Linked DNA regions of Kluyveromyces lactis. The protein of the gene in region 1 interacts with the protein of each later gene in a pairwise test. Links are inferred from orthologs where the notes say so. Each region holds a gene or a part of one and is shown on either strand. Other genes may lie near its edges.

Evidence for each region.
Region 2: the proteins of GRH1 (region 1) and KLLA0_F03729g interact in binary tests that used the Saccharomyces cerevisiae proteins (3 or more experiments, as listed by UniProt). The link is inferred for Kluyveromyces lactis from reciprocal best matches to the Saccharomyces cerevisiae genes GRH1 and SEC24.
Region 3: the proteins of GRH1 (region 1) and BUG1 interact in binary tests that used the Saccharomyces cerevisiae proteins (3 or more experiments, as listed by UniProt). The link is inferred for Kluyveromyces lactis from reciprocal best matches to the Saccharomyces cerevisiae genes GRH1 and BUG1.

What each region holds. Positions count from the first base shown.
Region 1 is NC_006039.1:85,291-88,393, reverse strand, and holds GRH1 (Grh1p), read left to right. Parts: upstream 1-1,364; coding exon 1,365-2,531; downstream 2,532-3,103. Other genes in the region: KLLA0_C01155g (uncharacterized protein), read right to left, coding at 1-310; protein disulfide isomerase PDI1, read left to right, coding at 3,101-3,103. UniProt on the Saccharomyces cerevisiae protein: Involved in the spindle assembly checkpoint. Involved in ER to Golgi vesicle-mediated transport by either facilitating USO1-dependent and -independent tethering or increasing target accuracy of fusion events of COPII-coated vesicles.
Region 2 is NC_006042.1:351,621-356,035, reverse strand, and holds KLLA0_F03729g (uncharacterized protein), read left to right. Parts: upstream 1-1,545; coding exon 1,546-4,320; downstream 4,321-4,415. Other genes in the region: KLLA0_F03751g (putative metalloendopeptidase), read right to left, coding at 1-597. UniProt on the Saccharomyces cerevisiae protein: Component of the coat protein complex II (COPII) which promotes the formation of transport vesicles from the endoplasmic reticulum (ER).
Region 3 is NC_006041.1:142,741-145,758, reverse strand, and holds BUG1 (Bug1p), read left to right. Parts: upstream 1-1,545; coding exon 1,546-2,502; downstream 2,503-3,018. Other genes in the region: guanine nucleotide exchange factor GET3, read right to left, coding at 1-992; MRPS8 (mitochondrial 37S ribosomal protein uS8m), read right to left, coding at 2,835-3,018. UniProt on the Saccharomyces cerevisiae protein: Involved in ER to Golgi vesicle-mediated transport by either facilitating USO1-dependent and -independent tethering or increasing target accuracy of fusion events of COPII-coated vesicles.

The DNA.
Region 1 (3,103 bases):
TCTTTGACTTCTCTTGTTCAATCTTGAATTCATGATTACCTAATAGTTCCACAGAGCAAACTCTGAAATTAGTACCACCTAAATCAGCTGCCAACATGGTTACTCCATGTTCCTGACCGGATGGCTTGTCAGTCACAAACGTCGGAATCATAGGCAACCCTTTGTTTTGACTGATATCTGATTCACAGGGTTCTAATCCCTTTTCCATACAATCGATGAAATACTCAGTCAACTGAGATATCTTCGATTTAGTAACAATGAACTGATCGCATATAGAATCAACCGCCTTGGTTAACTTAGGATCTGACATTATGCTCTAGTTGTTATTCTTTTAGCTTGTCTTGTCGTGTCTTGTCTACTCTTTAACAAGAATCCTTGATCTTTTCTACAAAGTAAAAAGTATGAATTATCCTTTCTCAACTACAGTCACTCTCTTATATTATAAAGTAGAAGAAACTGCGCACCATCTCCAGTTGAAACTGTTTTTTTCACGGTTTTTAGAATATTTGAAAATTGTCACCTGTTAGTCACGGTCGCCGTTACCGTTACTCTTGGCTACTCGAACAAACAACGTTATTGACGCATAAGAAAATGCGGGGTCACGTTTTGGTTGACCTTATGGGCCGAATGTGTGTATTGGCTCAGAAGATCATGGTATATACGAACCAGTGAGTGCTCTGGGCTAGACCAGTTTATACATGTATATACGAACCTGTACTCGTTGTTGTGGATAGATACGCACCAGTGTCCTTAAAAGCCGTTTCGCGGCTTGCCTACCGATTGGGCAATCACCGGGAATTCACGTGTATCAATGCTGAAAGGCAGGTTGTTAATTAGGTGGGGTGGGAATGTAGAGTCCTGAAACTGATAAAAAGAATTCAAAGTACTACTATTTCAGCTTTGAATACGTCAGTCGAAACAATGTAGAGATAATACTATGTAGCACATTTGCAATTGTACTTTTAAGTTTCCTTTCGCGTTGAATGGATGGGAAGAAGGTGAGAAAATTGTAAGGCTCCTGAAGGTAGAGATTGTCGTTTCTACTTAAAGACTATCTCGATCGTCTAGCATGCCCGATAGTCCATTGTCAGAGCGTTACGTTGATGTTTGGCTGCTATTTCCACCGGTATGAAATGAACCATTAGCGTTTTGTTTGTAGGTCACGTGAAATGCTTCTGAAAACTCCAAAATGGTTTCCGTTTTCCTATTGCATGTTTTCTTTCTTTGAAATCTTTAGCCAAAGGTTGAATGTAGAAAATACTCGTCTGATCTAATCTAGTCCAGTCTGGGGTGATCCTACAACAGTACCTTGGCACACCGGCTATCCGATTTGAAACTGTTATATTTGTCATTGCAATATAATTATGTTCAGAATAGCGAAAAATCTTGTCAGAACTCTTGAAGAGTCTGTTACTGGAACGGTTGGGGACAAACCTATTGATTCATATTTTCATTCAGTACCACCACAATTGTTCCCGATAAGGGAAGATGACCCTAGATATGCTCATCAAACGGATTCTCTATATGGTTTAAGAGTGGTACAAGTTGACGAGTCGCAATTGCAATTAACTTCGTTCTTTGATTATATCATTGGTTTCAATAACCAACCGATCCCCTTGGTACAGGATGGTACCATGGGTGCATCACAGACGTTCTACCCAGATTATAAAAGGATTATATCATTCTTCAATGAGCATTGTGGCAACACTATCAAGTTACATGTATGGTCTGGTAAAGGGGGTGTTTACAGAGAGGAGTATCTTTACGTCTCGGCGAAAAACTCTGTGAGCGAGATCCCGTTGGATGAAACAGATGCGCAACAATCCCTAATGACTTCTAAGATGTTTGAAGCGTTAGGTTTCAAAGTGCAATGGACCCCATTAATCGCTGTTACGTATAGTTACCATGTTTTACAACTAAACATTGAAAACGGACCCGCTATGCAAGCAGGATTGATTCCAGATCAGGATTACATTATCGCATGCCAAGATGGATTGCTAGCAACTGGCGGTGAGCATCTGTTACAAGACATTGTCAGATCAAGAGCGAACCATTCTTTAGTACTATACGTATACAACAAAGCCGTGGATTGCGTAAGACCTGTGACGGTACACCTTGCTGCTGACGGAAGGCTTGGATGCAACGTTGGCTACGGTTTCTTGCACAGAATCCCGGCACCTATCCAAAATTCACAATCAATTATCCACTCTCCAGCAGCCGTTGAATCTCACAATTCAAACAACATCATCCACCCAATTACACAACCAACTTTAATTCCTGCGACGTTGGCTAATAATGCGGATAATAAAGAAACGATGCCTTCAAACCCACTTCAGGTACCAGTTCCGGTTGGAAGAAGACAAGCACAGCTTCACCGCGGTTCGAACACTACCAATGCTGCGGCTGCTTCAGCATCAATGGCTGACTACTTCCAAGAGGGAAAAGATCAATCACCAAGATCCTCATCAAAGGCAACCCCTCCTCCTCCACCTCCAGCTTCTTCTACTGCTAGTAATACGGCTTCAGACTGAATCAATATACAGAAGAAAAAAAAGAGTAACAGAAGCAGTAAGATCCTTAAGGGCTCTGCTATATCGATATATTAAAGTATAAAGTATACTTCAATTGTATATACCATCAAGTATAACAACCGCTCTCATCTAGTAACTTCTATGGTGCAGCGATCGGTAAATGTGCATACGTAATGTCAAAAGATCAACGATAATCTATGAAATTCAGAGTACTCGTTACCCGCATGTACATATCCTTCCCATAATACCACTCTGTCATTTTGGTGCTTTTTTCGAGTTTTCGTACTGTTGCCTCCAAGTACACGGCCACCTTAGGTAAAAGAAAAAAAAGGTATATATAAACTAGATTTGCCATGTAACTTCGATCTTCTCGTGTTAATAGTTAATTATGAGTAAAGATAAGTCTGTACTTTATCATTCATTCAGTTTTTGATCTTTCCGTCAAGTTAACAACTCCGTTGATAATCTTTCCTCTTTTACAACGCACGCAATTGGAATCGGGTGTTTTCAAGAACTAGTTTCGGTGTAGTCTGATAGTATAAGAGATCGATAGAATCGCAAAGACAAAGATG
Region 2 (4,415 bases), on another chromosome or scaffold:
TTTTGCATTAGGATTCTGTTGTGCGATATTAATATCTCTTAGCTCCACGGTAGTCTTCTCACTTTTTAGAATATGAATCTTAACGGTGTTTCTTAACTCGTCATCCTTTAGGAGGGTATCCTTCGTGAATTCTTCCACGAATCGGAAAGTTCTTTGACCGACGCCGTTACGAACCATTTGTTCATTAGTGAAAGCTTGCATGATCCGTGCACCAGTTCTCAATTTCTTTATGGCCAAATCGAGACCGTTACCACCCTCCTTACGAATCTGTACAGCTGGTGCATCATATTTCAGAGGAGAATCTTTAGCGAGTAGTAGACATAGATGAATTGGCGGGTTCTGTAACAATGGTACGTATTGAATAGTTAATTGCGCCGTAGAATTGTCATTTCCAGTGAACCATAGTAAGTTTTCACCAGGAGTCAAAGAAATAATGCACTTGAATCCGTGGTTGTTAACGGGAAACGTTAAGGGAGGGAGCTGCGAATGATGCACTTGGACAGAATTGGCATTTGTATTTATATTTCCGTGGACAATAAGTGCGGGTGTATGAACCTCTTCTCCGTTCTTGATGTTGTAAAATTGGATTTGGGACATCACTTGATTTAATTAAGGGTATTCTATGGTGTACCAGTGGGAAAAAGAAGCAGATTTGAGTGTCAGTCACAGGTATTAGCTGAATTACCAGTGTAGAACCTTATGATATCGAATACTAGGAACAATGGATGGATTGCTCGTATTTAAAATCGTTTTACCTTCGAGACATCTTGTTTAAAGATCTGATCCAAAATCTACGCACATTGTAAATAAAATAAGCAGACCTCGAACTTTCATATCACGTGATATAGCAAGGTTTATATCTCTAAATATCCATCAACAAATAAAGCACTGCATAACCACAGGTAGGTTCGTTAAAGCCCGTACAGTGTCTGGAGGGAGTATCAGTGACCCACAATCTGCCCGAAAGTTTTATCTTCTACAATGACCACGTCGACATTAATTACTTAACTATGTGATTCTGAGAGAACACGAACTATGATGTTACCCGAATATTATTATTAAAATCTGACAGCTGTCAATATACAAATACGAACTGCAGCATACAATACACATATGTCAATGATCAAAGAAATACAATATATGTAGCTAACATCGACTGAGCAATTGGCTAATAAAGCAGCAACCATATACATACGCTGGAAAAAGCCTCTCAAACCGCGTCAGTTTATTTAGCAGTTATCTTGAAAGGAAACCAAATAAAAAAAAAATTTCAAAAATCCAAAAACCCAAATTTCGATTCTTCGACAATAACAAAACGGGCCGAAAATTATAAAAACAATACACACATTTGATATTCAATTGCCATCGATTGAGGCATCTACTCTTTTGGATCTTCAACTTGGTAGAGTCAATAACTGTGTCAGGATCTAGGCGACTTATCAGAAGTTTATAAAGGAGAAGGCTCTTTGCATTGTATTTTTTGCAGATAAAAGAGAAAGAGTTACAGACAATCGAGTGATACAGGAGATCAAATTATACTGAACCATGTCACACCATAAGAAGCGTGTTTATCCTCAGGCTCAGTACCAAATTGCAGAAGGGATTGCACAGCCAATTGTTGGTGGAGGTGTTCCTCCGCAAACTGTAGGTGCTGGACAGCCGCAATTTCTGACTCCTGCTCAACAACATTTGCATCAACAGATCGACCAAGCAAGTAACGGCATTGGTAATATGCAATTACACAACGTTCCTGTGGTTGATCCTACTGCATTCCAGCAAGCTGGAACCCCGGTGCAACAACCACCATACGGTGGGGCTCCTCAATATGGCCAGCCAATGAACAGTGGCTACGGCGCCGATAACATATCCGGTGTTCAGCAGCAGTATCAGCAGCCAATGCAACAGCCGTATGGGCAAACGTACGGACAACAGCAGCAGCAACCACAATATCAACAACCAGGAGTAGGAATGGCTGTGGGTAAACCAATGAATCAATTGTACCCAGTTGATTTGTTCCAAGAATTGCCTCCTCCAATCACTGACTTGTCTTTGCCTCCACCACCGTTGATGCTCCCTCCAGAGAAGATGATTGTTCCTAACGATACAGTTAACAATTGTTCTGACCATTTAAGGTGCACTTTGAACGCCGTTCCAAAAAACAATTCTTTACTGAAAAAATCGAAACTACCATTAGCTATGGTTATCAGACCATACACTAAGTTAACCGACTCTGAATGTCCAGTGCCAACTAGCGAAGACGGTGTTGTGGTTCGTTGTAGACGTTGTCGTGCCTACTTGAACCCCTTCGTACAAGTAATCGAGAATGGTTTACGTTGGAGATGTAACTTCTGTAACTTGGCGAACAACTTCCCTCAAGCAATTGATATGAATGGTAACCGTTACGAGAGACCCGAATTCAACCATTCTGTTGTGGATTTCGTTGCTCCTAAAGAATACGCTGTCAGACCACCACCACCATCCACTTACGCTTTCATTTTGGACGTTTCTCAGGCATCAATCAAGAATGGCTTGTTGGCTACTGCTGCAAGAACTCTCTTGGAAAGCTTGGATACCATTCCAAACCATGATGAGAGAACAAGAATCTCTATTATTTGTGTTGATCAATCTCTACATTACTTCCGTATTCCTTTGGACGAAGAAGGTGACAACATTAAGATGTACGACGTCGCTGACTTGGATGAACCATTCTTACCTTCTCCCACTGGCCTATTGGTTCCACTAATTGAGGCTAGAAGCAACATTGAAAAATTATTGACTAGCTTACCAGAAATTTTCCAACAAAATATTCAACCAAGATTTGCCTTGGCCTCTGCTCTAAAGTCTGCTTTGAACTTGATCAGAGCTCAGGGTGGTAAGATTATTGTTGTTGGTGCCACTTTGGCCAACGTCGGTGAAGGTACATTACATAAGAGAAATGAAAAGGCTGTTGCAAATACTTCCAAGGAAGCTTCCACTTTATTGAACACTGGTGACGCATTCTACAAATCTTTCCCTATCGAATGTAACAAATATCAAGTTACGGTGGATATGTTTATGGCTTCCGACGATTATGTCGATATCGCATCTATCTCTAACCTAGGCCGTTTCACTGGTGGCCAAACCCATTTCTACCCTGGTTTCAGTGCCTTAAACTTGATCGATGTTACAAAGTTCTCAAAAGAATTTTCAAAACACGTATCCATGGATCTATCTTTGGAAGCTGTTATGAGAGCTCGTGGTTCGTCAGGCTTGAAAATGACCGGATTTTACGGTCATTTCTTCAATAGATCTTCAGACTTGTGCGCTTTGGCTACGGTTCCAAGGGACCAATCATACGTTTTTGAAATTGGTATCGATGAACAATTAACAAAGGACTTTGTGTACATTCAAATTGCTTTATTATTGACATCCAATGCTGCCCAAAGAAGAATTAGAGTCATAACTATTGGTATTCCAACTACTGATAAGCTAACTGAAGTCTATGCTTCTGCAGATCAGTTGGCCATCACAGCATACTTCGCTCAAAAGGCTGTGGAAAGAGCTCCTTCTTCTGGCTTTGAAGACACTAGAGAATTTTTCAACAAATCTGTCCAAGAGGTTTTGGCTACATACAAGAAAGAAGTTTTGACTTCAAACACAGGTGGCGGAGCTCCATTAATGCTCTGTAGTAACCTAAGAATGTGGCCTCTATTGATGCATTCTCTAACTAAACATATGGCTTTCCGTTCTGGTATTGTTCCGGCTGATCACAGAGCTCAAGCATTAAATAATCTTGAAACGTTACCATTGCCATATTTGATTCAAAACATTTATCCAACAGTATACTCCTTACATGACATGCCTGACGAAGCTGGTCTTCCCGATGAAGAAACTGGTGAAATTGTACTACCGCAACCAATTAACTCCACCTCGTCTTTATTGGAAAGATACGGTCTGTATTTAATCGACACAGGATTGGACATGTTCTTATGGATTGGCGGTGATGCTGTCCCAGAGCTTGTTACAGACGTGTTTGGAACCCCGGACATTATGGAAATTCCAATTGGTAAAAATGAACTACCTCTATTAGACGCTACTGAGTTCAACCTAAGAGTGAGGAATGTTATTACAAAGATAAGAGAACACGATGATGTTATCTTCTACAAAACCTTGCACATTGTCAGAGGCGCCTCACCAAGTGAACCAATGAACCATCCTTCTGCCAGGGAAGTTGCTTCTCTAAGATTATGGACTGCATCTCAGTTGGTCGAAGATAAGGTCCAAAACAGCTGGAACTACAGAGAATTCTTACAAAACATGAAGACAAGAATCTCGAAGTAAGTTTAAAAGGTGCTTCCAAGTTGCGTACATACCATTTTTTATGTAGATATTGAAACCATGAAATAGCAAAATCTTACTTTGCACACAACCTTACA
Region 3 (3,018 bases), on another chromosome or scaffold:
TTTCTCAAGAATTGGGAGAATTTTTTCAAGTTGTTTAAACCTCTAATTTCACCTGCACACAATGGCATCTTAACGATATGGAAATCTTCGTACAATTCATCAATTTGGTCCAAATACTTCTTTTGCATCTTCCATCTGGATTGGCACCTTTTACAGCTGTCTCCTTCGTCATACTCAGCAAATAATAACTGGTTTACAATGATGGAGTTCACGTCCATATCGTATGAGATCAATTCCTGTACCAATCTTTCAGTTTCGTACAAAGACAAGAACTCACTGATACAAACACAGACAAAAGTTGTCATATCAGGATTGGTGAATTGTTCCTTGATTTTTTCCACATTAGACTTCAATTCACTCATTTTACCAACAAGATCGACGTTATTGGCACCAGCCAAAGAATTCAACATTGGTCCCAATCTTGCAGTGATTTCTCCGAATTTCTCCAAGAGTTTAGATAGAGTGCTTGGTAACTGTAAAAACCTTAGAGTGTGACCTGTTGGTGCGGTATCAAAAATAACGGTATCATACCTGTCACCTTCACCCTGTTCTTGGTTTTTGATGTGTTTCATCACTTCCATGAAAGAAAGTGCCTCATCAATACCTGGAATCGATCCTGTCAATTCAGATAGTGCACCACCTTGCAAAAGATCACTGAACTCTCCCGATCCAGTTGCATTATTGGCAACAGCCATATCATTCATATCCTTCAAAGCGGCAGAAGGGTCAATCTCCATACATGACAAGTTGTTCATCCCAGTGACTTTTCTTGCATCTTTACCAAACTTCTCACCGAAGGCGTCGCTTAAATTGTGTGCAGGATCTGTAGAAATCAATAGATATTGTTTCTCTGGTTGTGCCAAAGCCATTTGAATGGCAATCGAACAAGATGACGTCGTCTTACCGACACCACCCTTACCACCGACAAATATCCATCTGTGTGTTGAGGAAGTTATCAAAGAGTTTAGATCTGGTTCAACTGTTAAATCCATTGTACTTTTCCGCTTTACTTGGTCTCAGGTTTACACACTTACTGATTGTTATTCCTACAGTTGAAATAAGAGGGCGTCTTAGTTGTAAAACTTCTGTTTATCTACGCATGTCGCCACTAAAAGTGACAACAAATGCTAAATATCTTGCTGAAGACTTCTTCTACGTTCTTTTAAAGAACACGTCACTATATACGGTGGTGATAATAATTTGATATTTACCAATCGCATACCGAATAATAAAGAACATGGTACAAATACTTTGAGTTTGCTTCTCAAAAAGTCTTGAATCTTGTTCTCTTTCGAACCTAAATGGCTTTGAAACATTGTGAAATTAAACGATATTATTTGATCGATGTTTGCCTCAATGATGGTGATTCCTTTCTTATTAAATATGTGTGAACCATAACGACACGTTTAGATCAAAAAAAAAAGTTGCCCCATATGAAATAAGAATTTACATGGTGAATGCCAAATCTGAAACAATTGCGAGCTAAATATTAAAACCAATTGGCGTCTTCAATGCAAGTGAGTACACACATTCGAACAGTTGATTATGTCTGAACTATCCCCCGAGGAAGAAAGAGCCAGAAAGCTCGAAGAAGCCAAGATAAGGGTTGAAGAGTTAAAGAAGAAGAATAAAAACAAGAAGAATAAGAAGAAGAAGGACAAGGAAGATCTTGAAGCAGCTGAAGTCAAAACTGAAACTGAAACTGAATTGGAACCGACTGATACTAATGTATCAGAGAGTCCGGTTCATTCAGATGAACAACCAATCGTGGAAGAGACAAAAGCTGAAGAAAAGGCTGAGATAAATGCTGATGCAAAGGGCAATGACAACAACGAAGAGAAGTTTGAAAAGGAGTCTGTGGAGAAGTCTGAAAAAGAGTCTGCGGAGAACAAGAAAGACTCCGAGGAGGAAGTCCTCGAGAAGGAAGCAACTGATATACCCAACCCAACCGAGGAAGTGTCTAAAGAAGCTTTTGCAGTTCAACAAAAAGAGGAAGAACCAATAGAGGCAAAAAGTACAGATGAAGTTGAAGAATTGTTTGGCGGGAATGATGATAAAGAGAAAGATTTCCTTTCGACGATACAAGAACAGAAAAGCCAAGATGAAGTAATAAACCTCAAGGAAGAAGTTTCAAAGCTAAAAGATCAAGTAAAGCAATTGAAGTTTGTCAACATAGATCAAGAAAGCTCCATAGAAGAGCTTGAAGAACAGATAAACATCATGAAATCTCAACTCAATGATAAAACTGTACAATTGCTGTCCGCTCAGCAGGAGCTATCTACGTCTAGACAAGAAGTAGAGCAGCTTAGAGCAACACAATCACCACAACTAACCCCTGTGGAATTCTCTTCCTTTGATAGACATTCTCCATCCAAATTCGAGCCATCGAGACAGATTCAGCATCCAACGACAGACCCTGTTATGTTAGCTAAGTGGAAGAACTGGAATGTCGATATGACAAATTGGAGATCAGTTGGTGTTGGCCCAGTTGTGGAATTTTAAGTAAGTTTCAGCCTTGTTACTATTACCACAGAGCTATGATTTTTTTATGATTTGTCTCATTTGTCTCGTTTAGGCAAATATAATGCTATAATGTACAAGTATACAATTATATTAGTGTATGTATAAAACTGATATTTGACACGATTGATGATTGTCGCTAAAAGGAAAATCGCACTGATTGAATGTTACTATATACATGGAATATGAGGTGGATTTCCTTTTGATGATATTGGAAGTTTCGATGGTCCATCACACATGTTGATGAAATATTCTGCACTTTGTTTTTGATTATATGACTAATGGTCTTTATTGCTGGGAATTTTACTGATGATTCACCTAATTCTGCATAGCACTTCACCACCGACTTTCTTGGCGATAGCATCATCGATATCCATAATTTCATTCCCAGATTTCACTAAAATTAATTCACCAGGAGCCAAAGGTTTGATCAATCTGACGGAGGTACCTGAACATAGTTTCTTCAAATCATGTGCATCTAGACTGATTCTCAAGTTT